7 linked regions of the Cricetulus griseus genome follow. The protein of the gene in region 6 purifies or fractionates together with the protein of the main gene of each other region. This does not show direct contact. Links are inferred from orthologs where the notes say so. Each region holds a gene or a part of one and is shown on either strand. Other genes may lie near its edges.

Region 1 (4,197 bases), on a different chromosome or scaffold from region 6:
AAGGTTGCCTTCTTATTTTCCTTGTTTACCAGCTGACTGCATAAACTGGGACTTTTCAATTAATACTTAATAAAATTCCAAATGCCTCCCACCTTCTCCGGCCCTTACCCTTCCCCAACTACAACCCTTCATTCACTTATTTTTTAGGTAGGGTATCATGTAGCCCAAGATGACCTTGACCTCCTAACACTCTGCCTCCCAGTTCCAAGTGCTGGAATTACTGAATGTGCGCCCAGACTTCTCTGACTCTTCAGGATCAGTTCATCCCCATTCATCTATTAGGAATCAACAGATCTCACTGCTGTTTGGAAGTCAACACTCCTGATCCAGTGTAGGTTTTTCTCACACACTGACTATAAGCTCAAGCCAAACTGAATCTTAGGTCCTTTTGTATGAAGAAGGCTGAGCATTATAGGCACCTAATAGTCATTTAGAAAATGAATGCTCAGACATGACCAGCACATTACATGGATGCTGACATTCTGTGTCAAAGTACTTTTTTCCCTGATAAAGTAAAGACAATGTCACACCTAACTAGTAAGGATTAAATGAGGTAGCAAACTTTTGGTACAACATAGTGTCTGACACAAAGAACTACCATCTGAATGCCTGTTGTTTCATGTCTTAGTTATCCTAACATGTCCTTAAAATGTAATGTTGTGAACAAAATCAATGGCTTGGCAACTATACTGTTCTTTTCATGCAAGTACCTGCTGTGGATCTATTCCATGAAAAAGTCCTTATTAGGTATCATTAAACAAATAGGACACCATACTAGAAGTGAATTGTGACTAAAACTTACACCAACATCCAGAAAAGTAAAGAATGTACAAGCAATAGGAGCAATACATCCACACAAACTATGCAGTTTTGCTTACAGTAATAAAAGATAGCCTCAAGAAAAATTACTTGTGGAACTGGGTGTGGTAGCCCATGCCTGTAATCCCAGCACTTGGGAGACTGAGGCAGGAGAATTATTTTGTGTGTTTGACCAGACTGCTCTGCAATGAGGTCCTGTCTCAAAAAGGAAACAAACAACAACAACAACAACAAAAAGCAACAGAGACTACTGGTGTAACACTCACACACACACACACACACAGAAAAACTACTGGTGAAGAAAAGATAAAAACCAAGTCTTATTAAAAAATAGAGACTGATGGCTGTTCCAGTTGTTAGCTTTCACTTTTGTTTGGAAGTACTTCTCCAAAAGGAAACTTAGATGTGATCAGGATAGAGATAAAGGACCTGTAGTCTCACTCAAATGGGAATTCCACAGATATTCCCCCAGGTTTTTCCCAATTCATACCTAATTTTGTAGCTCTGAGAAATGTCCCAGCTTCACCTGCTTCTCTACTAAACCAAACTCTGTATTTACTAGCCTCTTACCAAAAATTACAGGACTATACAAACCATCACCTACTATTAGAATAGAAAAGAGGGTATAGGCTTAAAACTCCTTCCCCCCTCAAATTCAGAGGTCGAGTTCCAGTGAAGTTTGTGCTATTACACTTCATTGGTTTTAGTAGGAGCAGAGAGACCTCTAGCGCTACCTCAATAAGCAGAGTTTGCAAATAGTAGCTGCTAATGTCACCTTAATGAGACAATGGCAACATGCTGAGTAGCAGCGAACTGAGTGACCACAATGAATGTTTACAGTTTTGCAACCACTTGGAAAATCTACCAGCCTGGTGGCATGTGGTATACACAAGGACGTAGGAATCTATGTATGCAATTTATTTCGGCAAAACAGGTCAAAGAAATTGTTTTCCTACTATTCACGCTCCCACTCCAAGATGAGCTTTTTTTAAAAAAAGAAAGAAAGAAAGAAAAAACCCAAGATCAGAGGTCTGCATAATCTCCTTCCCAAAGCTTCAACACAATGGATGGTAAACTATTGTCCACCTTTAGCTCGCTCCAAATGCCAGCAGTCACAGGGGTTATGAGCTGCAACAGCTCGGGAAGACTGGTCCAAAGGACAGCACTGGAATATAAGAAAATGGTCTTGGCGCATCCTACCCTCCCCCATCCACCACCCTCAAACAAGTCAGTTACCCGGCTGGTCCCCACCCCCCTCTAAGGGCTGCCACCGCCCGCCTGGGCCCGGCTCGCACAAGGTAGGCGCGGGGACTGAGGCTCCATGTGCAGCAGCGCGGGAGGCTGCACCGGCTGAGGACGCGAGCGCCGGCCGGGCCCCAGCGGTGCGGTCGGCACGCGGGGCGGCAGCATCCCGGTCCGTCCTCCCGCGCGGCCCGCGGACCCCGCCTCGGCTCCACATCCCTTCCCCTCCGACAGCAGGCCGCGCCCGCGCGGCGGCGCCGAGCGCCCAGCGGTCCCCGGTGCCCGCGTTGGCCGCTCAGGAGGCGGCTGCAGCCCGGGCCGCGGCGCCCCCCGAGGCGGCGGCCAACTCCGGACTGACCGCCAGCCGGCGAGAGCCAGCGGCCACGGGCCCCCGCCCCTCCCCTCCCCTCCTCTCCCGGCCGCCCGGCCCGGCCAGACTCGGAGCACACTCGCCTCCACATCGCGGCCCTTGTTCTTGAAGCTCTTGATGCGGTGGTTCTCCAAGCCGGGGTTCTCGGCCATGGCTGCGCGCGGCTCCGGCGGCGGCTGCTCCTGCGGCGGCGGCGGCGGGGCGGCGGCGAGTCGAGCGGGAGGGGACGGAGGGGGAGGAGCGCGCGCTCCGTGACGCCCGGAGCGCGAGGTGGCCGCGGCGCGGGGGCGGCGCTGAGGAGCGGCGCGCGCCGGGAGAGGCCGGGGCGCTGGCCTGCTGGCTGTCGCGGTGACCCTGCCCTCACCCCACCGTAGAGCCTCCCGACCGCCGCTAGTCATGTGCTAGAAATGGAGCCCGACCTAGCAGCTTTTACCACCACCCCTGACGCGGGGCGGCGGGCGGAAACTACAGTTCCCAGCATGCCAGGCGCTGGTCTGAGCCACGCCATGAGAGGACGAGAAGCATGCCGGGAGGGCTGGGCGCGCGCTTTCGGCGCGGCGCTTTCTGAGCGCGGGCTCGAAGCCCCGCCTCTGGGCGGGGTGGTGGGCAGGACATCTCCGGAGATGGCACCTTGCGGCCTATCGGGAGCGAGAGGCGGGGCTCCTGGGGGCGCACCTTGCTCCCTACAGCTTGGAAAATTAGAAAAAGAACGGCCACGCGTGCTCTGCGCTTTTGGCTTCTTTGGGGTCTCCTCAAATAGCAACCACCCTCAAACTCTGTTCTCTTGCTCTGCCTCGGTGTTATAAATAGCATGCTTGTTTCCACTCCACAGATACATGTGAATGTGATGTGTGTGTTTATGCTTATGCTACCTTGCTCCCTGCACCGTTATTAAGCTCAATGAGTGCAGAGACTTTGTTGGTCTCAAGAATCTGTCAGGTCAGCACAGTACCTACTAAGTTCTCATCGATAAAAGAAAATAATAGCGTTCCAGCATGCCCTGATTTCTCCCAAGCATCCTTGTGCAATCGTCACTTTGGCAGCTCTACCTTCCTGTGCCCCCATGGCTCCTAGTCCACCTTAACACACAATCTAGCCTTCAGGCTGTAATCAGGCCCTGGGGCTGCAGACTCCAGCCTGCCTTCTCCCTTTAAAGTCATAGAAGAAATAACAGAGAGAGGTTGGAACAATAACAGCTTTTATTCACCCCACCCCACCCCACCCCACCCCACCCACCCACCCCACCCCCGGGCAGGTGGACTTGGTTTATATATAAGAATATTGCGTTTCTGTATCTTCTGCAGATATAAGCTTGTATGCAGTTGTACTACATATGATCAAAATGAGCCAGGTCAGATTGGTAGAAATATACCATAAAGAATTCAGTTAAGACAATCTTCAAAAGAAATCTGGAAGAACCTGAGGTCTGAGTTAGGAACTGAAAGGCCTTTGGTGGCCAAGCTGTCACCTGCATTTGTTTTGTGAGTCACTGGTTGTGGTCAGTTGGTAACTACAAGTCCATGAAAGGTCTTACACCATCTTTGCCCTGTTGAAGTATGGTCGGTCTACTGATGCCAGTAGTGCTTTCTCATGGAAAACAAAAAGTTGCACTCTTTTTTCTCTATTTTATTTTTTTTAACTATCTTAATTGTACCCCTTCCCCTCCCCCTTTTCTTTCTTTTTCTTTTTTAATTAATTTACATTTTTCTCTAGACTTCAAGCCCTCAGCGTGTCCTTTGAATCTGGTCAAATGACTCATTTGAAGA
Region 2 (4,369 bases), on a different chromosome or scaffold from region 6:
TGAGCCATCTCTCCAGCCTCAAGAGATTTATCATTTAATAGGTATGGAGTTTCAGTTTTACAAGATGAATAGGTTCTAGAAATGCACTTGTTTTTGGTTACACAACAATGGGAATGTCCTAATACTCCTGAACTATGTACTAAAAATGGTTAAGTAGGAGCTGGGTATGATGGTACATGCCTGAAATGAAGGTATTTGTAAGGTAGAAGCCAGCCTGGGTTACATAGTGAATAATACCAGGCCAGTCAGGGATACATAGTAAGACCCTGTCTCAAAATAAAACAAAACAAAACAAAAACAAAAAAACATGTTAGGATGATAAATTGCACATTTAAAATTTCCTTTATACTACATAGAGAAATATATATCTCATTTGAGCAAGTGTACTTGTAATGTAGTTTTAAGAAATAGCATATTGGCTTGGTGTGGTGGTGTAGGACTTTAATCCCAACACTCAGAAGGCAGAGGCAGGGGGATCTCTTAGTTGGAGTTCCAAGTCAATCTGGGTTACACAGACTGTTTCAAAAACAAACCAATCCAAAACAAGCAAACAACCCCTCCTGCCAAGACCCACAAAAATATATTTTGAGGATATTCTGTGTCTGTCATCACAACCCTCTTCCTACTATGAGTTGAATTAACTGCATAGAATGCAAATACATCTTTAAATTGCAATGTTTTCTGTAAATGCAAAACAAAAAGATGTAAAAATTAAAATCGTAAGAACTTTTAAAGGTGTACTTTCTCCCTTCCTTCACTCTTAAAATTCTTAATCTAAAACCTATTTTGGTTTCATAGTTGACCTTACCTGTAGTGTTTAATTAAAACAATACAAAACAAAAAAACCCTTCAGTATATATTTTTCATCCATCCCTCTTTCTTGCCTTCAACTACAAAGAAACAATGATTTAAGCCCTTTGTGCCCTTTTAGAAAATTACACAGATACCCCATTGTGGAACCCTATAATCCCTCCGTGGAAAGGAAGAGATTAGCATATGAATACAAAGCAAAATGAATCCAGAATACAAAAACGATCTATCGAGTTGTGAAGGTTTTGTATTCTTAAAATTGAATTTATTTCCTCTTTTGTATTGCCCCTTTCGTGGCCTAAGGGTTAAGGAAATTGAGCTTCCCCCTCTGCTCTGGTTACCCGGAAAAGGATTTAAAAAAAAAGAATCCAAAACCACACACACACACACACACCCCAACAGATTCTAGGAGGTGCAAAACCAACAGATGGCTCCTAGCGCCAGTAATCGTCCGTGGAATCTGCTACACTCGAAATCAGCTTGCTTGCCTGTGAGGAGTGTAGAAAGTGCTGTTCGCTAACTGCGTGGTGAAGGAGAGAAAGCGATAGAAGAGAGAGCCATAATGCTGACGTTGAAGGCCCGGCCCTGTGAGGTTGCATAGGGTAAGTGGCGTTGGCCAGGCGGCGGCGGCGAAGGGGAAGGGAAGAGGATTTGGGCTAGGGGCGGGGCTTGACGCGCAGCGTGGCTCCTGATTGCTGGAGGGCTGCTGCCAATCTTCCAGATCCGCTCGCTTAACCAGTGCGCTGGCGAGACGCGCTCAGATATACTGAGCGAGCGCTGAGAAGCAGTCTCAGATCCTGACGGTGCAGCAGCCTGCAGCCTCAGCCAGGGAGTCCCAGCCGCTTTCAATGGAGGAGAAGCCCGGCCAGCCACAGCCTCAGCACCATCACAGCCACCACCATCCGCACCATCACCCCCAGCAGCAGCAGCAGCAGCAACAGCAGCAGCAGCAGCAGCAGCAGTCGTCGCATCACCATCACCATTATTATTTCTACAACCACAGCCACAACCACCACCACCACCACCATCACCAGCAGCCTCACCAGTACCTGCAGCATGGAGCCGAGGGCAGCCCCAAGGCCCAGCCCAAGCCGCTGAAACATGAGCAGAAACACACCCTTCAGCAGCACCAGGAAACGCCGAAGAAGAAAACAGGTCTGGGAGGGAGGGCGGTGGGGGAAGGGGGGCTGGGGCTGGGGGGCCGACGAGGGGATGGGGGTGGGGCTAGATGTGAAAAGCGCGGACCCGGCCGGGGTGTGCGTCCCGCGGGGCCTGGGATGCCCCCTTTCATTCTTCCCGGGCGCGGGCCGCGAGGTGGGGATTGCAGCGCCCTCTCCTTCCCTTCAGCATGGGAGAGGCCCAAGCAGGCCAGCGTGACCTTCCCCGGCCCCCGCCCCGGCTGGAGGCAGACCTCTCTCTACGGTCGGCTTTGGAAGTCCACAACCTTATTTTTTTTCCCCCCTCCTCTTCTACGGCCCCGGAGTTGCCGGAATGTGGGGGGCCCTAAGAAGGGATCAAACTCGGCCGCCCGCAAAAAAAAAAAAAAAAATTCCCTCGAGGTGTATGTAATTCCGGCGGGCCTAGTGAATCCCGGCTCGGGTGGTGTCGCGAGACCCTCTTGCAGGCAGCGAGGAGCCGGGCTGAGGGCTGAGTTGAGGAAGCGTCCTCCCTCACCCGCCACCCAAGCCCACCTGTGGCCCTGGGGTTTGCTGTCTGGGGGGGGCGGCTGGGACCCCTTCTCCCCTCGAGTCATTTCACCCCTAAACGCCCCTTCCGGGCGCCGGACCCTGCTGTCTCTCCTCGAGGCTTCTCCGGAGGCCGGCGCCCCTGGCCCGCTCTCAGAGCCGGCGAGGCTGGAATGTTCTCTCCTCCTCGCGGGGCCGCTTCCTGTCCGCCATGTTGGAAGCCGATTCCTGTCACCGACTCGGGCCGGCTGAGGAGCGGAGGGGGGAAGGGTGCCCAAGGCCACACTGCACTCTGGGACCGAAGGCCCGGGACCCTCGGCGGCCATCGCCGGGTCCCCCGCACTGCGGGCGGCCGGCGCCCGCCGCCCCTCCCCCGCCTCGGTTTGGTGGCGGTTGGGTGGGGGAGGGAAGCGGCCACGAGGGGAGCGGCCTGCACCGTGGACCCGCGCGCCGACGGCCGCGTTTCCCGCTCCCGGGTGCGGCGGGAGGCGCGGGCGGCCCGGCCGGGCGGGGAGCCGGCCTAGAAGAGGAGCTTGAGGGGGAAGGAGGCCCGGGCGGCGGCCACGGCGTTCCGCTGGCCTTGGAGGGGCGAGGTGGGGGACTCATTTTCGGTAGAGGCGGTGCCTGAGGCCGGGTGGGGTACCCAGCGGGAACCAAGCTCCCGGGTCACGAGTTTCTCTGCCACAGGAATCTCATCTCCTGCCAGGTTCGCTCACGACTCCGCCTCAGCGGCTTTCACTTAGGCCTTTTTTCTTTCTAGCAGCGCCTTTCCTACCAAAAGAAGGGAAAACAACCTCTTAAACCTTGTTCCATCTGATTTCCACACAGCACCTAAACTTCTGGGCATGGGTAGTGGCTGCAGGGATTAGTCAAATACTTGATTTGGATGGACAACAGAGACAGTTTGGGTCCCCTATTATCTGGAAATGGCTTGTCCGTGAGGTTGGGTCAATACCATCTTACCTTGGACAATACTTTATGGTGATATTAAAGTGAAAGACATTTGCTGCATTTTAAAACCGATGTCGTTACCCAAACTGAATTTTATTTAACATGTTAAACGTAAAAGTCTTGAGGAAATACTTAAGAAATAAATGTCAAAATTTATATATTCGCAGATTAAAAGTTTATAAACTGAAGAGTAGTGAAGGGAATACTTGGAAGAAAAAATGTTAAACTCAGCATGTCATTTAAGCATTCAAGCAGTCACTGGTGAAAAACTTACTGTAGACAATGTAACTTTGAAGACAGATGCCGGATATCAGATTTTTTTTGTAAGGTGCAGTAGAAGTTAAGTGCTTAATTGTAAGGATCTAGAGCAGCCTAGAAAACTTAGGAATTATGTAACACTGCATTTTGGTTTTCAGAAAGTGGGGAAGTATTAAGGTTGTCAAATAATGGTACTTTTTAGATTTTAAATTTGTTTTATGAGGTTTATGTATTCCCCACAGGACTCATCATTTACAGTGATGCAGACCCTGAACCGTTGGAAGTGACACCCCTCAAAATATGTCTTAAGTTGGGATGAAGAATAAGGAGGGAAACTGTTGAGGGTTTGGGGGTGATCTGTCTTTCATGTATGTTTTGGTCACACAGTACTGTTGCTTCAATGGCTTTTTATGACCCATTACTCCCAAATCTTTGAGAAACTAGTTTTTTGAATCCAGAAGAGGGCACAAGAGAAGACAAAATGTGTTGAGTGGGTTGCAGTGGCAAATCCAAAGCTAGATTTGTCAGGACTCAAGTTTTGACTGAGTCCATTTGAAGTTGAGTTTGCATGGCAGCCCTAAATAAATGCTACAGATTTTTAATTTTTCAGGAATAACTACAGTCTTGACATTTTTCTTAAATGTTTAAGCTTTTAAAAATGCCTT
Region 3 (4,397 bases), about 160 Mb from region 6:
AGAAAGTTAACATTGTTTGGCTGTAGGGAAACAAGAGGGTTTTAATTTTATGCCCTACTGAACATTTCCAATTTTGAATCTAAGTATTATTCAATGGACCACCAGTTAAAGACTGATAAACTCTACCCATCTTTCCCCATGTTTCATGAAGGCAGAGATCTGTCTTATCTCTCATTATCCCAGTTGATGGGTCCATAAAACACTCCTCAAATCAATGAATGAACTGTATGACTGCTTAACTTTCTAACTAAATTTTACAATTGTCTAACTGACTCAACTCAAGACATCCAATACAAACCCATTTTATATAAACTCACGTTTCTCTCCCCATCCCTGTAGATGGTACCCCTCATCCAATAGAGCTCTAAAACCCAAGAGACACCTATCTCCAACTTCACTCTTTTCTTCTTTCTTTCTGTTTTTTTTTTTTTTTTTTTTTTTTTTTTGGTTTTACGAGACAGGGTTTCAGTTTAGCTTTGTTGCCTATCCTGGCACTAGCTCTGGAGACCAGGCTGGCCTCGAACTCACAGAGATCTGCCTGCCTCTACCTCGAGTGCTGGGATTAAAGGCGTGCACCATCAACGCCAACGGGCTCCAACTACACTCTTATCCAAACTATTACAGGTTCAACAAGTACCTTCAACATAGCTGGAAACCTTGTTACTTGTCTTTTAGTGGTCCAAGAATACAACTCTGACCCTGGGTGGGGGTGACTTTTGACATCTACTCTCCAACCTATAGAACATAAAACTCCCAAAACTTAAAATGTTTTAAAAACCAAACTCTAGCTCAACCTCTCTTACAGGGTCTACCTTCATTGAACTTCTAATTTCACTCCACCTTGGGGCTTTTCCATTTGCATTTCTTCAGAAAGTTTCTGTTTTATCAAATATGTCAAATGTCACCTCAGACAGGCCTTTCCTAACATACAATCTGAAACAACTTTTCCCAATTACTACAATTCCTTATTTTCCTTCGGAGCAATATCCTATTTGTTTATCTACTATGTCTCTCCATCTCAGGCAGAACTCTGAAGAAAGCAGAGTTCAGAGTCATATCCCTAATTCCTGAAAAGCAGCTTAGCAAAGGGACCAGCTCTTCCCACTGGAAAACTAACTTTAAAGGTTCATACACTTGGGGCTCAATTACTGAGGGTGAAAGTTGAAAAGACATGGGTACACAATCTTACACATTCACACCCTGGTAAAAGAAAGCAGGGTCTGGTGAGGTAGGATTTCCGGGAATGTGAGGTTAGCTGAGCTATACAGTGAGTTCCAGACCAGTCAGGGCTATACAACAAAACCCTCAAAAGACAATTGGGTGTGATAGCACATGTTTTTAATCCCAGCACTGCAGAGGCAGTAAGGTCACTCTGATCTACACAGTGAGTCCCATACAGCTGGGGCTACATTATAGAGAGACTCTGTCTCAAAAAAACAAAGCAATTAAGAAAACAAAAAACAACACCCCCCCCCAAATCACCAAAACAGTCCCACAACTCATAAATAACATGAGGGAAGGGAAAGTAATTAAAACAAAACTGTGCACTATTCTTAAAATTCATTTGTGACTCTTTGGGAAGGGACTTCCAAATACTGTATATAGGCATTAAGAGCCAAAGGTCAGCTAATCAAATCACTTTTATGTCGTGGAATGACACGTGATGAAAGAGAATAAAGTGATCTCTCATACTGTATTTGAATGTGGGTTTGAGATAAGTTCTGGGGCAAGTATCTTTTCTATTGAAATCAGTAAGGAAACACACACACACACACACACACACACACACACACACACACACACACACCAGGAATTTTTTCCAGAAGGCGGTGCTGGAGTTGAACCCAGGGCTTCTTGCATGCCAGACAAATGCTGAAGCATTGAGCTATATCTCCAACTTATCTTCAAATAGAAACTTAAGAGGGCACTACCATCCAGCCAGTAATAGTAACCAAGGAGGACATGGGGTAACTTATAATAACAATAGAAATTCAAAGATGTTCTACTTGCATGCACCGTAATGGTAGGGAAGGGTCTAGACTCTAGTACAAAAACAAGTGCTGGAGAGAGTCTGAGGCTCTTATTTCACCAGCCCATGAGTGTTGAGGCAGGAGGTGCAGCATGCACGTAGACTACTCCTCCCCAAAGCTATCAATCTTCACTATCTGCGGAAACAAAAGTGAAAATACTCGTGGCTAGGATCTATGAGATTGATGCCACCCCCTTCCACAGAGACTGTGGTCTCCGTGTGCTCACGTAAATAAGCGGGAGAGCACACTTTCACCTTCCCTCCTTAGGAGGAAAATGAGGCCGAGGGAGGGGCGGCCGGCAGCGGATCGGGGAGGCCCGGGATCCGATCCAAGGGTTGCCTGGCTTAAGGGTCAGCAGTCGAGGGACCGAGGTCACTCACAGGACACCATCTTGCCGGGCCTCCAGCTCTCAGCCCGCTCCCCTCCGCCAGGTCGCCCCTAACTCCGTTCCTCCGCCCCATCCCCGCCACCCATTCGCCGGGAAGGGAAGTTTCCCTGCGCCCACAGCCGGGCTCCCCAGCTCTCAGCGGGGTTACCTTCTGCGGAAGCAGGGCGAGGGCAGGGGCAGGGGCCCGGGGAGGGAGGCAACCCGCAGGCGTGAAGGACGAAGCCCCCGGCTCTGAGGGTGGGCGGCGGCGGCTGTCAGCTCGCGTTCCCCGGCTCACAGCGCTGCCATTACTGTGCGCCGAGGCCGCCTCCCCGGCCGGCCACCGCCACCGCCCCGGGGCCACGGGGGTGCCCGGAGCAAGGCGCCGCCACTCACCTGCTCCCGAGGGAGCCGTACAGACAAGGCCGCTGCCGCGGGACAGGACGGGGTCAGGGGAGTAGGACGGACAGGTGGCTGGATCGGGGAGCCAGTCGTCCTCCAGGGCTCCGGGCTTTGCCCGACACACGCCCTCCGCTCTGCTCTCCCAGCCTCTTGCACTCACACACCCGCAGGATGCAATGGTCCAGTCCAGGTTACGGCAAGCGCAGGGAGCCACGCTTCGAGAATCGCGAAGCCCTTGCAATCAATTGTCAAAGTAATTCATCGCCCTGCATACTTGTCAATGAGGCCATCGCAGTTCCCTGAGCTCAATGGGTGCAGTACCCACCAAATTTGGGGACTATTGATATCCAAATTACAACAGGGAGAGGGTTTCTCTTTGTTTTATTTGTATGTGGTTTTGTGGTTTTTGAGACTGGATCTAGCTAGGTGACTCTTGCAGGCCTGGCACTCCTTTTACAGCTTGAGCTGGCATTGAACTAGCAATCTTCCATCTCAACCTCGCCATTAAGCCACCACTCCTGCCTAGGGTTTCTCTATGTAACTTTGGAGCTTGTACTGGAACTCACTCTGTAAACCAAGCTGGACTCAAACTCAGAGATCCGCCAGCCTCTGCCTCTGGAGTGTTGGGATTAAAAGTGTATGCTACTACACCCAGCTCTAGCTGTTGTTTTTACCCTCGGACAAATTCAAAGACGTAAATATTTACTTTTCTCCTTTTTGTTGTTGTTGTTGTTGGAAACAGGGTTTCTCTGTATTGTTTTGGAGCCTGTCCTAGAACTTGCTCTGTAGAGAGCCGCCTGCCTCAGTCTTGCAAAGGATTAAAGGCGTGAGCCACCAACGCCTGGCTGAGCTAAATATAGCTAAACTTCTTTGAAATACAAGCTTTAGATACTACAAGAATCTAAATGATGCCGGGCGTTGGTGGTGCACGCCTTTAATCCCAGCACTCAGGAGGCAGGTGGAGGTAGAGGCAGGATCGAGAAACCCAGTCTCAAAAAAAAAAAAAAGAAAAAAAAAAAAAAAAGAAAAGAAAGAAAAGAAATACAAATTTGAATGAGGGATACTCACCTTTGTTATTTTTTTAAAGATTTATTTATTATGTATACAGTGTTCTGTTTGCATATATGCCTGCAGGTCAGAAGAAGGCACCAGATCTCATTACTGAAGGTTGTGAGTCACCTTGTAATTTCTGGGAATTGAACTCAGGACCTCCCAATTGCTAAGCTATCTCTCCAGCCCCTGTCTTTTGTTATTTAATTGCCTTTCCTATAGTGAAGAAGATACAGTGGCTAGGGATTTTACCTTTGAATAAACTTTTTCTTCCCAGCCTCTTCCAACTGTGCCAATTCTTTAAAGTTCATTTAAAATCTTATCCTCAACGCAGGTATGGTGATCTCACTTTGTAATCCCAGTATTTAGGAGGCTGAGACAGGAGGATAGGAAATCCAATCCGTGGTCACCCCCAGGCTATACCTAAAACCCCTTTCTCAAAATTAAATCTTATTTCCAGACACAATAAATTCTACCAATCTCTCTTCTCATAGCACTTGAATTTGTACTTACTTGTTTTTGTTTTTTGAGACAAGGTCTAACACAGC
Region 4 (3,660 bases), on a different chromosome or scaffold from region 6:
CATGCACCACTACACCTAGCCAGAGAACCAAATATAAAATATATTTCTGATTTCACCTCCCAAGTGCAAGGATGTTGTGTAGCAATATACTCTGGGGTTAAAACACACTATCTCCCATAAAACAGAGGATGAACAACTCAAAACAGTTTCAGGAAGCCCCTGAAACTGATCAGATTCACTAGGTCCCTTCCAAGAGTAAAAGATAAAGCCAGCCAGCCATGAGTTACTCTCAGACAAGCCAAGTTGCAAGGAGAAGACTCTCAAGAGCCCAGAGAGCTGCCTTGAAGGGGCTTAGACCAACTGATCTGGACAGAAGGGATACTGGCTGCCTGCATGCTCCAGTTCTTCAGCTTTTGTAAACTCATCTATGCTGGAGTAGGCTTTGGTGATTCAGACGTCTTTGAGTCACTTCTGCTCCTTTTCTTTTCTTTCTTTCTTTTTTTTGTGGGGGTGGGAGGTTTGAGACAGGGTTTCTCTGTACTGCTTTGGAGGCTGTCCTGGAACTAGCTCTTATAGACCAGGCTGGTCTTAAACTCACAGAGATCCACCTGCCTCTGCCTCCCGAGTACTAGGATTAAAGGTATGCACCACCAATGCTCAGCCTTCTACTCCTTTTCTGTAAGTAGCCCCTCACCCCATATTCCTTTAACTAATCCCAATAAAACTCACTGGTTCACCAAGTTGGGCTTTGATGCTACCATACTTTGGTCTGTCATGGGATCCTTTTTAGGTCCAAATGGCTAACTGTGATGCCCATTAGCACATCAAAGCACATGCTAGCCTCCAGGTTCTCTCAGCATAGCAAATACCTGTTACAGAGTCCATCCTGGCTCTTCTTACCCCACCACTACCCCTATACTTCTCCAGATCACTTTCCTCCCAAGCTTCTCGCTCCCATATAACCCTGTCATTTCCAATATGCACTCTCTTGCCTCTCACATTTTATCTTCCTTTCCCACTCTCTTCCCCGCTTCTCTCTCATGGCTGGGTCCAATCTATTGGCCATGTTTAGTCTACTACTTTCTCTCTCCGCTCTGGACTTTGACTGTACTCTCCTCATGTCTACAATAAAAACCTTCCCCTCAACCATACCTTGGAGAGGTCATGTCTGCACTTAATGCACCTGGTGTCAAAACCCTCACTTTATACACTCTCTATACAATACACTCTGGGGTTAAGTAGATACATGTATGTGTTGCATCTCCAGACAACATGCAATTACAGGCATGTGTGACCACACTGCTTTATTAAGTGCTGTGATTCAAACTCAGGACTCCATAAATGCTAGGTAAGCCCTTTACCAACTGAGCTACACACCCAGCCCTCCAATGTTTGTTTGTTTTTTTTGTTGGGGGGGTTGTTTTGGGTTTCTTCGTTCCTTTTTTTTTTGGTTGTGAGCCTACTCTTTAACGGCGGAGCTACTACCCGCCACACCCACCCACACCCACCCACACCCACAACCACACACACACACACCTGCTTTTTTTCTTAAAGACAGGGTTTGTCTGTGTAAAGCTCTGGCTGTCCCAGAACTCACTTTGTAGACCAGGCCTGCCTCTGCCTCCCAAGTGCTGCTAGAACTAAAAGCATGCGCCACCAGGCCCAGTTCCCTGTGTCTTGAATATATATATATGTATGTATGTATGTATGTATATATGTATATATGTATATATGTATATATTATAATATTATATATATATATATATGCCCTTTCCCTCTTATTTCTAAGTCCATTTTTAATTTATTTACATTCAAAAACAAAACAAACTCCATATTCAAGAGAATGAACTCACCTTCCTTCACTGTCTTTACAATAGGGGCATGTACATGCTTCCCGCCGAGTCCTCCTACCAGCTTGGGGTTGGGGATCAGGGCTGTTCTCTCCTTCTTCTCCACCTGCTGTCTCATCATGCATCCCATCACCACCAGATCCATGGAGGCCAAGTTGAGCTCCATGATCACCTGAAATAAAAAGAAAAGGAGAAAGGTGGCAGTGGACAGGATAGAACAGCTATAGAAACATCACTGATATTACATTCACAGTACCAACTTTTAATTACAGTTCTTTCTTCCATGAGTGGTGTGTGTAGTATGCTTGTCCAAGCCAGAGGTCATCATTTAGAAATCAGTTCTCTTCCACCACATGGGTTCTAATAATCAATCTCAGGCTATCAATCAGCCTTGATGCGAATGCCTTTATCTGCTGAGCCATCTCACTAGCCAATATGGCACCACTGCATCAAGATCTCTTTTTATAATCTGACATAAGGTCTTGCTTTGCCCAGGTTGTCCTTGAACTCCTAGGCTTCTGAATCAACCTCCCAAGTAAGTACCTGAGGGACTCCCAAGTGATTACAGGTTTAAGTTTACATAGTAGGTCCAGACTAACCTTGGCTAAAGAGTAAGACCCATGTCAAATAAAAAAGTCAACATGACATCAACATATTGGAATTTGTTCCCCATCCCTTTTAATAACAGTTTTAGAAAAGAACAGTTTAATCTTAAAATATGGTACTAGTTAAGCAATGAGATAAATTAAAGATTGGCCTTCCTGTGATGAAAATAACTAGGAAACCAGAGGCAGTTTAATGACAGTCTTGGGCAAACTGAGCTGTTACCTCTAGCATCCATTTCTGAAACAACTATAAATGTTATATCTTTTTATTTTCTTCAAAGTAAAGAAGTGTAGGTAAAGCCATGACCTAAAAGTTAAAACCTTGGGAATTACTAAAGCATGATGAAATTAAAATGTCAGTAACTGTAAAACAAATCACCATTCTAGGAACTGAGCCAAGGGCCTCCACATAGTAGGCAAGCATTCTACCAGTCTGAAGGCTAGTTTCCATATATTTCCAAAAATTCTACTTGGGATTCTGGTTTCTTATCTGTCATCTTGCTGTGATAAGTACCATGACAAAAAAAACAACTTGGGAAGCAAAGGATTTATTTCATTTTTTTGGGGGGGGGGTTTCTTTTATTCTTTTGTTTTTTTAAAGATTTTATTTATTATGTATACAACATTCTGCTTCCATGTGTATCTGCACACCAGAAGAGGACACCAGATCTCATAACCAATGGTTGAGAACTACCATGTGGTTGCTGGGAATTGAACTCAGGACCTCTGGAAGAGCAGTTGGCGCTCTCAACCTCTGAGCCATCTCTCCAGCCCTTTCTTTGAGATTTTCGAGACAAGGTTTCTCTATAGCTTTGTAGGGTGTCCTGGAACTGGGTTTATCTTATCTTACAACTCTTAGATCATACTCCATAATGAGGGAAATCAGGCCAGGAACTTGATACAAGAACCGAGAGACAGGATTGGCTTAATCTCCAAGGCTTGCTTATTCTGGTAGACTATCTAGGACCACCTATCCAGGAGAGACCCATCCCCCAGTGTGCTGGGTCCTCCTGTCAAGAAAATGGCCTACATACTTGTCTACAAGCAATCTGATGAGAGTATTTTTAATTCATTTATGTGTATGAGTGTACTGCATGTATTTGGGGTGCCAGAGAGATCAGAAGATAACATGGGCAACTTAATGAAAACCTCCTCTCCCTTCCTTTCCCCCCCAAAAATGTGAGGAGGGCTGAGAATATATGACAGAGCAAGCATAGATCTCTGAGAAAAACAAAGAAAAAAACACTGGGCATCATAGGGAGAAA
Region 5 (4,088 bases), about 210 Mb from region 6:
TGCAGACATCACACAAAGCAGCAAAACACAGCGTTGGTCCAGAGCCTTCTGCAAATCTCTTCCTGCGGTAACTCACCAACTCACTCAACGCTACAATTCACACAAAATGAGCATCTTTTAAAAAAGAAACCTTATAAATATATAAATCCAAACCACAAAACCTCTTAAATATTGTATTTACTCAAAGTACAAATGGAATTCTGGAAACCGCATCCACAATACTACCTAAAACTAGGGTTTCTGGAATCATAACTGCATTTAGCTCTAAGTTGGGGGTTAAATTTCATTGGACCACATCCCACATATACTTTCTCAGTATATGTACCTTGGGCATACATGTTCTCAAAGTCAGTAGTTACACAACTAAAATAAAACTCCTATTCTAGGTAAGCATCCATGTTTTCCTTAATATGGAGTTTGGAACTGGTCCCCTGTAACTATTTCACACTACAAATGTTTCACCACAAACAAGTTAACGGAGTCTTGGTAAAGCCCTTCACTAAGCATTACGGGTATTTTATTGTTAAGTATCAGCAATGAGTTTCAGACTAAGAAGCTTTCTTCCCTCTTTTTGCCTAGTTTCTGTGAACATTCTATTCCCCATCTAAAACTTGCTAGACAACTTACTCCCACAAATATATACATTCAATGCCCCCCACCCCATTTCATGAAGCAGGGTGCATACTCAGGCCATGTAGCTTACTTATGCTTTTACAGAAAATACACTGAAGGACTTGAATCTATCCCCAAACTGACTGAACAGCCGCAAGTGAGCCATACCTGGCCACCTCCACTTCACTCCCTTGACTTGTCTCTCCAAGCAGGGCATCAACTCGGCATGGCTTCACCCTTTCTTTTGCCTGGACTTCCATAGGACATAAACCCAAGCCACTGCAGTCTGGTACCATTCAACAGAACGTGGGTTCTCAGTGCCTAGGACTAGAGCAACTGGCGACCTGTTGCTGGGTTTTCACCATCACAGGTTCCCCCAGAGTGTTGCAGGAGTCAGCCAAATCAGACCTAAGCAAATTTCTAAAACAAGGGGAAGAAAATGAAACCTTCATAAACTGATAGCAACTAATTTAAATGGAACTTTGTTCAGGATAAGGCATGGGCTGATTGAAGAATGTGGTTAGAAATCAAACAAACCTAAAATGCTATAAGGAATTACTCCAGTGAATATTTCCACATGCCAAAACTGCTCAGATCTTCTCTGGGAAGCCTGGGAGAAAAACCGCACATGAAGGAAAAGGCCTGTGGTAAGGATAAATGGCCATGCCCTGGCGTGAGGTCTACTTCCTTGCAAACTTCTCAAAGTCGTCCCTCTTCTCTAGCAACATGCCCAAACAGGAAATTCTGCAGGAACCACCCAAGGGGATGATATTGCAGGACTCTGGGTCAGGGAGCACCGCACAGAAGAGAAATGGATCTGAGGGCAGGTAGCAGACCTCAGAGAAGCATTGCCTTAAGAGAGAAAGCACCTGAAGATGATTAGGGGCTCCAGTGCTAAGAAAATTGGGTGCATACCTATGTGTTTTGGAGCAACCTGCCTGTGACATCCACCTATTATCATGAAATACCCCTAACTTGAAGGAGGACTCCATTTATCCCTACCTCTTCACAAATACCCTGCCACGGTATAACACACCTTGCCTGTGCCCACACCTTTGCTCATGGACATCTCACAATTGTCAGAGCTCCCTAAAAGCTATGCACACAGCCTTGCTTTCTTGGTTAACCCCTATGTAGAAATGAACTTTTTAGAAAATGTTCAGAATCCAAGAAAACCCATCAAGCCAACATCTGGACAGAAAATGGACCACAGACATATGGCCAAGGGCTTTGTTGAGGCTGTAGACACTAATCATAGAGAATACAAAAGAAAGCAAATTGTACGTACATCATTTGAATGTAGCCGTAAGTGCCAAATTTCCTATTTTGCATATTGGTTAAGAAGGAAGTGCCATACAGTCCAGAAATTCATGACAAACACATTGGCAAAAACCATACACCATAAGGATGACAAGGCTAGAGGGAACGAGGCTAACAAAGACTACCCCAAGGGTGACTTTCTTAGACACCAGTAAATAGATCCCTAAGGGCAAGGAGCTGAAGTATAGCAAGCCTAGAAGCCACACTAACACCCGGATGGACGTCTGAAAGAGTAGGGAGGTGCAGTTCCACACCGTCCAGTTGTGGGACACTGTGGTGACAGAGTCGAAACTTGCCGGCCTGTAAAATTCTACCACAGGTGTAGAGGTGAGAGATGGGGAACTCTCCCTCTGCACCTCCATGATGGTGATAACCAAGCAGTTGGAGGATGTGTGGGAAGGACTGACCAGGGAAGCCAGCCGCTTCGGGGTGAGCAGCAGCTCCGTGGGATTCTCAGGCAGGCATTTCTTCCCTTTGCTTCCACAAGTCAAGTTTACAAGGATGTTATTGTCATCAGGCAGGCTGCTAACTTCATCATCCGGCAGGCACGTCTCAAACCTACAGAAAGGACAGACGATGACACCCTGGGGAGAGTCCCCAAAGTCTATGATCTTATAGAGGCATTTGGCACAAACTCTGTGACAACACTCCAGAACCTTGGGCTTCCTCTGTTTCAGGTTGTACCGATTGTAACAGATCTTGCACTCTAGCTCATCTGAGACCTGAGTCTCCACAGGCTCTTCTGGTGGCTGGCTGGCCATCTTAAATTACGGATGCAATCTTTCGTAGATGTGCCTGACTGAGGAGTGACTAGGATTAAGGAATTCCTCAGAACATCGCATCATCCAAGTCAGGCAAGGGGGTTGAAAAGACGGGAAAAGTGGAGAGAGAACCCAGAAGTCTTTGGAACATTTTCAGCTCCTGCGTGGTACTCTGTGTCTCTGGTGCATATTTTAAAAGGCCACCTGCAGGATCTGCAAAGAAAAAAACAGAAATTGTAATAGAGCAAACAGTTCACCGAAAAGGTGTTCTGAGAACTGCTTCGTGGCATTCTCTGAGCTCTAAGGACCAGGAAGCAATAGACCTAGCAGATTAAATCCCGTCCAATTTCACCTTTCCAGCCCTGCGACAGAAAGGTGTCATGTCCATGCTTCAGTCCACAAACACCCTAAGAAGGAATTAAGTCCCGAATGTGTGTGAAGTACACTGACATTCACCTCAGGGCCACATGCTCTACAACGGTGTCTACCCTAGCTAGGACAGATTATCTCTCTGAAATAAGCACCAAATTTTGGCCTCTTTGAAAAGTGGGGCTTATTCACAGTAGAAAACAGCCAAGTACCTTCCACAGTGCTCACAAACACGCCTAAGAATCTTCTTGCTGTTGCTAACTTGTTTTGTTTGCTTGCTTGCTTGCTTGTTTGCTTGCTTGCTTGCTTGAGACAGTCTCACTATATAGCCTAGGCTGGCCCCAAAACTTTCCACATAGCCCAAGCTGACATTGAACTCAGTAACCACATGACTCAGGCTCACAAATCTTGGGATTGGGGGCCATGCCCCATCATGCCCAGCTTCCCAAGCACAGAGTCTTAAGGCGAAGTATTAAGGACAGGTTTTCAGGAAGTGTTTTCCTAGAGATAAGAGCGTCTGTAAATGAAACAGATGGTTTTTTACTTCTTTATCTATTTTGCAAATGCCCTTAGTGTTTGACTATTTGATTAAATTTTTGTTTCAATGCCAATCTTGTGCATCCACATCTACACAAAGTGAAATAAAACATAAAACCTCTGACATAAGCCCGATAAACACATCCAATGCCTAAGAAAGTGAAGCAAACACAGGAAACACAAACAATTACACACACACACCATGAACATAGGAAAAGTCATTCCTGGGTAACTATCAGGAAATACTCATGTTGCCATCCCACCTACTGTGTGCCATGTAAATTCTATCTGTAATAGGCAGAAGGCACAGTGCATCCTGCAGGCCTGATACTAGCAACAGTGACATCACTGGCACTAGCTTTGGACAAAGGGCAGAGGTTTATTCGTATGCACAATGAGTCGTCTATATTGAGCAGCAGTGAAGACGAGCAGCAGTGTGGGAAATCTCCAGACCATCCCATTAGCTTTAATTTGTGTGATATTTGGGGT
Region 6 (3,660 bases):
TAATCCTTGAGCAAAATGAAGCTGGGTTATAGGATTAGTGACTGTGGTGACCTGGCATGTCTCAGCCTTAAGCCATGAGGTTCGGCCTGAGTGGGGATGTGTGGACCTGGAAACTCCTAGCAACCCAGCCTCGATAAAGACCAAACACAGGCATCTTGTCATCTTTAGAGAGCTCTCAGTTCCATGTTGTAAAACTGGAGTCTCTTCTCTATTTACCATCTTTTTGGCTGTTTCTTAACCATGCTTCCATGGCCACGAGGAGACCACTGCTGTCCTTCTGTTCTCCTCTCTGGTCGGATGGCTCCTGTCTGTCCTCACTTGTACCTTACACCTAGCACCTAGGCCCAGATGCAGGCCTATTCAGATGCTTAGGCCCATAGAGATGCAAACTAGGAGGCATTCTATACTAAGGCTATTGTAAACAATAGCAGACCTGCTAGCATTAGCAATACAATAGTGGGCCGGAGCTTTCCGTGAAACCAGAGGCTGGACCTCAAAACATTCTATAATGGAACTATTTTGGTCCCCCAAAAGTGATAAGAGACACAAGGTGGCACAAAGTCCACAAAGCTAAGTGACCTTGGTTTAGGTGTGCCACTGCCTCTACTGCTAGTGAATTCTGTTAAATCATTCCCCTAAAAAGGTGATGATACGCCAGGCATTGGTGGCACAGGCCTTTAATCCCAGCACTCAGGAGGCAGAGGCAGGCGGATCTCTGTGAGGCCAGCCTGGTCTTCAGAGCAGAAACACTGTCTCAAAAAACCAAAAAAAAAAAAAAAAAAAAAAACAAAAACAAAAACAAAAAAGGCGATGAGAGGTTAAAAGGACCACTCATAGGAAGGGTAGATACAGTAGACAGAGCTGAATAAGTTGGATGTCAGAGTTAGGGAAGAAATAGATTATGACTATAATTATATGTTGCTTGACAATGGGGGCACAGCCTGGCAGTGGTGGTGGTGGCGGTGGCGCACGCCTCTAATCCCAGCACTCAGGAGGCAGAGGCAGGTGGATCTCTGAGTTCGAGACCAGCCTAGTCTACAAGTGCTAGTTCCAGGACAGCCTCCAAAGCCACAGAGAAACCCTGTCTCAAACACCCCCCTCAAAAAAAAAAAACAATGGGGACACATCTTAAGACATGTTGCTAGGCAAATTTGTCATTGGATGAATATCCATTTTATTATTACCTCTGTGTGTGTGTCTGTGTGTGTGTGTTCATGTAGGTGTATGAATGTGCATGCATGTGTGTACAGATGTGTGTATGAGTATGTCAAAGCCAAGGCTCAATGCCTGCTTATATGTGTGAGCACCTTGTACATGCCCAGTGCCTGCAGAGTTCAGAATAGTGTCAGATCCCGTGGAACTAGACAGGGTGCTGGGAATGAAGCCTGGGTTCTCTGGAAGAACAGCAAGTGCTCTTAACCACTGAGCCATCTTTCCAGCCCCATCCACCTTAATTATTTGAGATACGATCTCACTATATAGCCCTGGCTGGTCTGGAACTTGTAAGGTAGACCAGGCTGGCCTTGAACTCACAGAGATCTGCCTGTCTTTGCCTCCCAAGTGCTGGGATTAAAGGTGTGCACTGCCATGTCCAGCCCACTTCATTTTTTGAGACAGTACCTCTCACTGAATCTGGAGCAAGGCTGGCTGGCCAAATAGCTCTAGAGGTCCGTCTATTTCCACACCATCTGCACGCTAGCTACACACGTTTGCTGGAGTACCCAGCTTATTATATGAGCATCTTTTTCATCTTTTTTGTTTGGTTTGTTTTGTTTTTCAAGACAGTGTTTCTCTGTGTAGCTTTGGAGCCTATCCTGGCACTCACTTTGTAGACCAGGCTGGCCTAGAACTCACAGAGATCCATCTGCTAGCCTCTGCCTCCCAGGTGCTGGTTTTACCTTTTTTTTTATTTTTCTTGAAATTTAAAGATTTATTTTATGAATATGAGTGCTATATCTGCACATAGGACCTATGCCAGAAGAGGGCACCAGATCCAACTATAGATGATTGTGAGCAACCATGTGTGTGGGTGCTGGGAATTGAACTCAGGACCTCTGGAAGAGCAAAGAGTGCCCTTAACCTCTGAGACACCTCTCCAGCCCTGGTTTTCTTTCTCTCTCTCTCTCTCTCTCTCTCTCTCTCTCTCTCTCTCTCTCTCTTTGTTTATATGAGCATCTCAAAGATTACTTACACAAACTAAGACACCTATGTCATTAGACAGTGTAGTTCCTCACCCCCCTCCCCCAGGTCAGAGTTTCTCTGTGTAGCCTTGGCTATTCTGGAGCTAGCTCTATAGACCAGGCTGGGCTCGAACTCATAGATTCATTTCCCTCTGCCTTCTGAGAGCTGGGATTAAGGGTGAGCCACCACTGCCCAGCTAGATAGCGCAGTGTTATATGACCACCATGGCATATGTGGTCTTTGACAGAAATACTATGTGCAATGAACTACAGTATGTATAAATCCTATGTGCTTGTCCCAGACATCCTGGTCTTTTTCCCAGCTGGGGTACAGAAGCCTTGGTACTGCTCTCCCTAGCATCACACCTGTGTCTGGCAGGTACTGGAACTCCATGGGCTCACTGAGCTCCCGATCAGAAGGCCGCCGAAGCTGCATGGAGACACGCACAGGAGCCTGCAGGCTGGGGTCAGCGTATGGAGGAGTCCGGAACACAATAGCCACTTGCCGGTGCACATCAGCTTGAGAAAAGGAGCCTCGTGCTTCCCAGCCTGGTCCAGTGAAATACACCTCGATGTCTTCTGCAGGAGACAGAGTAGTAAGGGTTAGTATCTGAATTCCAATGGACCTTGGTCCCCAACTCCTGATGCTTTTCCCCTGAGACGTCACCCTGTTTCTCCTGAAGCCACTGAGGTCCCTGGCACTCATCACCCTCTCAGCCTCACCCCGCCCCTCGTGGCACACATAGCCCAGTGTGTACCTTTCTGCACTTTGTCACACAGCAAGAAGATCTCATCCCCACCAAGGCAGCTCCCGGAGTTCCGGTTTACTCGGCAGATCTTGAGCTCAGCAGTGTTGGGTGCACCTGAGGATGTGACATGGATGGAAACCCTGAGCCACCACAGGTCTCCAGGGCACCCGACAGGAGATGTAACAGCGATGCCTGGCAAGTCCCATGTCAAGGTCTTCCTTCCACAGCTTGCTGACAACACTTCTGCAGACTAATCCCATCTGCTCTTCACCTCAACCAATTCAAAAACACCTCCTGCTGTGTGTGTGGAGCATGGCTCTAGAAAAGGCAGCAGAGCAACAAAGAGCCCAACGTATTCCTGTCCTCACAGACCTTACAGCCCAAAGGAAACAATCTGACACCTTGTCTCCCTCTGCCTGATCAAACACATTTTCAGCTTTTGGTTCATCTCTACCCTTGGCAATGAGTCTTTCCCTCCTCACTCCCAGTTAATCCTGGTTTCCGGTCCTTGGGGCTCCAAAGGCCTTTTATTTTCAATTGCCCTGCTGCTTACTAATCCATCAGTGTCAGCCCAGGTCATCTGAGAGCTTCCTGTGAGCTGCTACTGTGGAATTATCACTGCCTAGCATTATCTGGTTCCTGGGAGTTTGCTTCCTAAAGTCATGAGCACAGTTCCTGGCAGACCAGCATCTCTACACAAGATATGGAAAACAGCCACTTCCCATCAGGCT
Region 7 (4,157 bases), on a different chromosome or scaffold from region 6:
TCTGTGTAGCCCTGACTGTCCTGGAACTCACTCTGTAGATCAGGCTGGCCTCAAACTCAGAGATCTGCCTGCTGCTGCCTCCTGAGTGCTGGCTCAAAGGCGTGCATATTTACTGAACAATCAAATGAGTGAATGATAATTTATTGACTAGTAGGCTCCTTCTACTGCTGCCACAAGGCCTCATTGAAGAGCCTGGCCTCGAGGTGCTTCCCTCACCAGTCATCACCCACGTTGAAGGCATTAAGGCTCTTGGTGAAACCCTGCATATTGGTGGGGCTGACTCTCTGCAGGAAGTCGATGTAGTCCTCAGAATGGAAGCGGCACATGTCATGCTGGGAGGCCTGGTAAGGCTTGAAGACCTGGAGAATGGAGACAAAAGTGAAGTTGTTACCTTGAGCACTGCCTAGATGCTAGCTGAATTTCTACACTACCCTGATCTTACCCTTGAAGGCAGGATGCCTATAAGGCAGAAATTCCTCTCAGGGAGGCCAGCCAAACAGGATCAGCCCAAGAAGGCTACCAGAGTGACCAACTAGACAAGACCTCACTTAATTATAATCCCACCAAAACACTGAATGATACTCCCAATTCCATGACAGGGAACAACTGCCATGGTAACAACTGGAAAGCAAAAAGAGAGAGAAGAGTGCCTGAATTCCCAGAAATTTTCTGCCCAGTCTCAGGGAAAAAAAAAAATCCTTTTCTTTATCAGTCTATTTCTCTTACCTCCTTTTTCACTCTATACAAATTCTTTTTTAATTAAAATTGATTTACATTATTTCACTGGGGTGCGGCAGGGGAGGGGGGTAGGTAGGTATGCATGCCACAGTGAAGCCAGGGATAACTTAGATGTCAATTCTCTCCTTTCACCATGTGGGTTTCAGAGTTCAGACTGAGGTCACCAGGCTTGGAGCCAGGTACCTTGACCCACTGAATCATCACTCTAACCCCCATACCTGTAACCTCTTGATTCCTAAGAGTTGTAAAGTTTATCTCTCATTTATATTCTTGACCAAGAATAAAAGTCCCTTTCACTGTTCATTTGACACATGGTCTTGTTACTGGTTCCAGAATTCCAGGAAGGGGTCGGGGGCCGGGAGGCCCAGTTTGAATGCAAAACCTAACAATAAACCCAGGCATTACTATGCCAGCCCCAGGCTGAGACCACTTACACTGAACCCAGCCATGGAGACTGTCCAAAACATATATAACAATCTCCCTACCCCCATCCCTTAGTGAAGAAGAGATGCTATTAGCCAGGCAAGCTACTTTTATCAAGACCCCTGAGGATCATTTCGTCTAATTCCTCTCTTCAGCCCAGTCTCTATCTTCCCAGCCCACTTCTCCTGGCCCACATGCCTGTTCCTAGCTTCCTCAGTCCTGGTTCCCTCTATACTTATCTCCTCTCTTAAACTCAGGTTCTGGTCTCTTCTCTGGGTTTTTCACCATGGGATCAAATCCATGAGATATATGACAATCTAACTGAAATCCAAAGTCCTAAACCAAAGATTTATTATCCTCGGTGGGGGTAGAGGTGGAAGTTCAAACAATGATTTGAAAATTGGGCAAGAAACACTTTTTTTCCTCTCCTAGAAAACGGATAAATGGACACAGACAATTTTAGGGGATTCAGACTTGCACTAATACCACCTCAGTCTACTGTACACCCAAACCACTGCCTGCGCCTAAACACACCAATGACATGTTGAATACCTTCATGGTACACAAGGGCCAGGCTTGCTACATGAGAGATGGGAGAGTTGAGCAGAACCATATAGATACATTCTATATTAAAAAGTAAATTCCTGCCAGGCAGTGGTGGTGTACACCTTTAATCCCAGCACTGGGGAGGCAGAGGCAGGCGATCTGAGTTCAGAGACCAGCCTGGTCTATATAGAGTGAGTTCCAGGAAAGCCAGGGCTACAGAGAAACCCTGTCTCAAAACAACAATAACAACGACAAAAAAAGTAAATTCCCATATTCTCTACACATACACACCACAAAGGAGTGCAGAGTTGTCCTAGCTCCTTTCAGGTAAATGGAGGAGGAGAAGGCGAAGGAATTATGGGTGAAATGTCATTAGAAAATAGACCCTCATCCTTGGTCCTGAACCACTATCCCCTCTACAAAGAAGAGGGGCTAGAGGTGTAGTTCAGTGGCAAAGTACTCACTTAACGTGTGAAACCCTGGATTCTATTCACTAACACTTAAATAAATGAAGTGAAGGGATGAGCCTGTCGCCCTAACCCTAGGCCAGAGGCTGGTCTCCCCTCAAGTTAAAAGGAAGTCCCATCTAAGGTCAAAAATGTATGTCCCATTACGAAAGGGGACACCCCCGACTCAGTACCACCACCACCACCGCCATGCATATAGGAAACGTTCACGGTGCCTTCTATCCTGCTCCCCCTCTAGCGGCAGGTTGCACCTGGTATATCCAGCCCACCTAGCCTAAGGCCGCAGCTTGCTCCCAGGCCCAAACCCCCACAGAAGTGTCAGGACTCACGATCATCTTCTTATAGAGACCATAATGCAAGACTAGGCTATGAGTCAACGCCAGGCGATGGGGCTTCATCGGGTGCCCAGCTCCTGGGGATAGGGAAGGAAAGAGTTGGTCAGTTCCCACCCCTAGAGTTGCAGCCCTTCCCGGGAAACCTCTCCTCCCGCACAACTCTGTGCCCTACCGTAGTGGAAGTTGCCCACATCGGGGTCGTAGAAATACGCCACGGTCTTGGCCATGATGTTGGGGGACCAGGCCCCGAGCCTCAGCCGCCCGACCGCCGCCGGCCGCCAGCCCCACCCCCGCCGTGCGTGCTGCGCAAGCACGCAGCCTACCGCTGCGGAAAAGAGCCCTCGGCCCCGCCTCCCAAGATCACATCCAGACCACGCCCCTAGTGGGAGTCCCGCCCCTTGTGGGAGCTCCGCCCCTTCCCTTGCTGTCCCGGTCCGGATTCTGAGGCTTGAGACTCCGTGCTTGGGCGGGACCCGCGGCGTTATTCATAGGACACAAGGGCCGTTTCTTTCTGGACGAGGGTCATATCCTCGGGAAACCGAGTCATTCTGTCCACCCACTAGCCCCAAACGGGTCTTGGGGCAGCGTTCCCTCTCTAGGAACCTCGGAAGGTCTGGGCATCCTGCCTCTCTCAGGTGTAGAAAGCCAGATTTTCCCAGGCGCTAGGAAGATTGCTGGCTTTCCACTCATCCGGGGAATGTGAGGGCAGGACCTGTGCCAGACATGAGGGCTAGACCAGTGGCCAGAGCCCCGCCTGACCTCCCGACCACCCACGAGGACCCAGACTCACGCCGCACATTCCTCCTGGGGGAGGGGGCGGCGCAGTCACGCGCACATCTCACTTGCGTTCACACACGCGTAAGGCTCACGCTCTCCGCCCCGCACACCTGTGCTCCGCCCCTTGGTCCCGGGCCCGTGACACGATAGGCATTTGGGAACCCAAGACAGTTTCAGAGGCGCTCCCCCATCTCCTCCATTTCCCGGGCAGGAGTGGTCCGGAGCCTGCCGCGGCTCCCAACCAACCGGTCCACATCTTCCGCCATCCTTCCCTCCCCCCGTCTGCCGCGGCACCGGTATCCGCAGCCACCAGCCCGGAGCCGGTGAGGCGGCATAGGGGGGAGGGGGAGGAAGCAAGGGATGAGCTCCGGGAGGGCGTCGGGGGCCCTGAGCCGGACGAGGACGCCCCTGGAACCGGGACCCGAGCCAGAACCGGAGCGGGAGACAGAACCAAACCACCGGTACCGGGTGGGCCAGGTGGCCAGGGTGGGAGGAACGAAAAAGAGGGGACCCAGGAATGCAAGGAGGGGAGGGGGCTGTACGAGGCCTGACTCAGGCCGGTGTAGAGGAGGTATCAACACTGACTCCAGCGTGTTTTCTGAGCTCGCTGTTTGAGAATTTCGTCCCACCTTGTGCTGCAGTGTCCTTGGAAGGGACGGGGGCGCGGGATGAGCTGTAAAAAATAGCGGTCTGGATGTCAGAAAAGTGGGGCTGGGTCGTGGCAGAGGGCTTTCGTAGATGCCATCTGGCCTCCAGCCTGTGGCGGTCTTGGCCGACCAGCACCCTCAGTCTGGACAGCTCCTAGGTTCGGTCGGGGGTGGGGCGGACCTCTTATTGCGGATCCTAAGATACCTTCCTACTCTGCGGGTAC

The links.
Region 1: the proteins of Rela (region 6) and Kpna3 purify together in Homo sapiens (affinity purification with mass spectrometry; 4 studies listed by BioGRID and IntAct, with this or other methods). This does not show direct contact. The link is inferred for Cricetulus griseus from reciprocal best matches to the Homo sapiens genes RELA and KPNA3.
Region 2: the proteins of Rela (region 6) and nuclear fragile X mental retardation-interacting protein 2 purify together in Homo sapiens (affinity purification with mass spectrometry; 3 studies listed by BioGRID and IntAct, counting the BioPlex papers as one, with this or other methods). This does not show direct contact. The link is inferred for Cricetulus griseus from reciprocal best matches to the Homo sapiens genes RELA and NUFIP2.
Region 3: the proteins of Rela (region 6) and Cul2 purify together in Homo sapiens (affinity purification with western blotting; 3 studies listed by BioGRID and IntAct, with this or other methods). This does not show direct contact. The link is inferred for Cricetulus griseus from reciprocal best matches to the Homo sapiens genes RELA and CUL2.
Region 4: the proteins of Rela (region 6) and Sp1 purify together in Homo sapiens (affinity purification with western blotting; 7 studies listed by BioGRID and IntAct, with this or other methods). This does not show direct contact. The link is inferred for Cricetulus griseus from reciprocal best matches to the Homo sapiens genes RELA and SP1.
Region 5: the proteins of Rela (region 6) and Rnf182 purify together in Homo sapiens (affinity purification with western blotting; 3 studies listed by BioGRID). This does not show direct contact. The link is inferred for Cricetulus griseus from reciprocal best matches to the Homo sapiens genes RELA and RNF182.
Region 7: the proteins of Rela (region 6) and Hdac3 purify together in Homo sapiens (affinity purification with western blotting; 3 studies listed by BioGRID and IntAct, with this or other methods). This does not show direct contact. The link is inferred for Cricetulus griseus from reciprocal best matches to the Homo sapiens genes RELA and HDAC3.

What each region holds. Positions count from the first base shown.
Region 1 is NW_023276807.1:216,452,665-216,456,861, forward strand, and holds the start of Kpna3 (importin subunit alpha-4), read right to left. Parts: upstream 2,878-4,197; 5' UTR 2,830-2,877; coding exon 2,515-2,829; intron 1-2,514. UniProt on the Homo sapiens protein: Functions in nuclear protein import as an adapter protein for nuclear receptor KPNB1. Binds specifically and directly to substrates containing either a simple or bipartite NLS motif.
Region 2 is NC_048600.1:91,081,536-91,085,904, forward strand, and holds the start of nuclear fragile X mental retardation-interacting protein 2, read left to right. Parts: upstream 1-1,563; 5' UTR 1,564-1,658; coding exon 1,659-1,965; intron 1,966-4,369. UniProt on the Homo sapiens protein: Binds RNA.
Region 3 is NC_048596.1:210,684,951-210,689,347, forward strand, and holds the start of Cul2 (cullin-2), read right to left. Parts: upstream 2,950-4,397; 5' UTR 2,794-2,949; intron 2,731-2,793; exon of another isoform or gene 2,567-2,730; intron 2,166-2,566; exon of another isoform or gene 2,011-2,165; intron 1-2,010.
Region 4 is NC_048595.1:398,798,598-398,802,257, reverse strand, and holds part of Sp1 (transcription factor Sp1), read right to left. Parts: intron 1,963-3,660; coding exon 1,794-1,962; intron 1-1,793. UniProt on the Homo sapiens protein: Transcription factor that can activate or repress transcription in response to physiological and pathological stimuli.
Region 5 is NC_048596.1:263,371,471-263,375,558, reverse strand, and holds the start of Rnf182 (E3 ubiquitin-protein ligase RNF182), read right to left. Parts: upstream 2,898-4,088; 5' UTR 2,694-2,897; coding exon 1,950-2,693; 3' UTR 1-1,949. UniProt on the Homo sapiens protein: E3 ubiquitin-protein ligase that mediates the ubiquitination of ATP6V0C and targets it to degradation via the ubiquitin-proteasome pathway.
Region 6 is NC_048596.1:53,704,307-53,707,966, forward strand, and holds part of Rela (transcription factor p65), read right to left. Parts: intron 3,044-3,660; coding exon 2,939-3,043; intron 2,760-2,938; coding exon 2,547-2,759; intron 1-2,546. UniProt on the Homo sapiens protein: NF-kappa-B is a pleiotropic transcription factor present in almost all cell types and is the endpoint of a series of signal transduction events that are initiated by a vast array of stimuli related to many biological processes such as inflammation, immunity, differentiation, cell growth, tumorigenesis and apoptosis.
Region 7 is NC_048595.1:199,688,337-199,692,493, reverse strand, and holds the start of Hdac3 (histone deacetylase 3), read right to left. Parts: upstream 2,843-4,157; 5' UTR 2,737-2,842; coding exon 2,682-2,736; intron 2,587-2,681; coding exon 2,504-2,586; intron 360-2,503; coding exon 217-359; intron 1-216. UniProt on the Homo sapiens protein: Histone deacetylase that catalyzes the deacetylation of lysine residues on the N-terminal part of the core histones (H2A, H2B, H3 and H4), and some other non-histone substrates.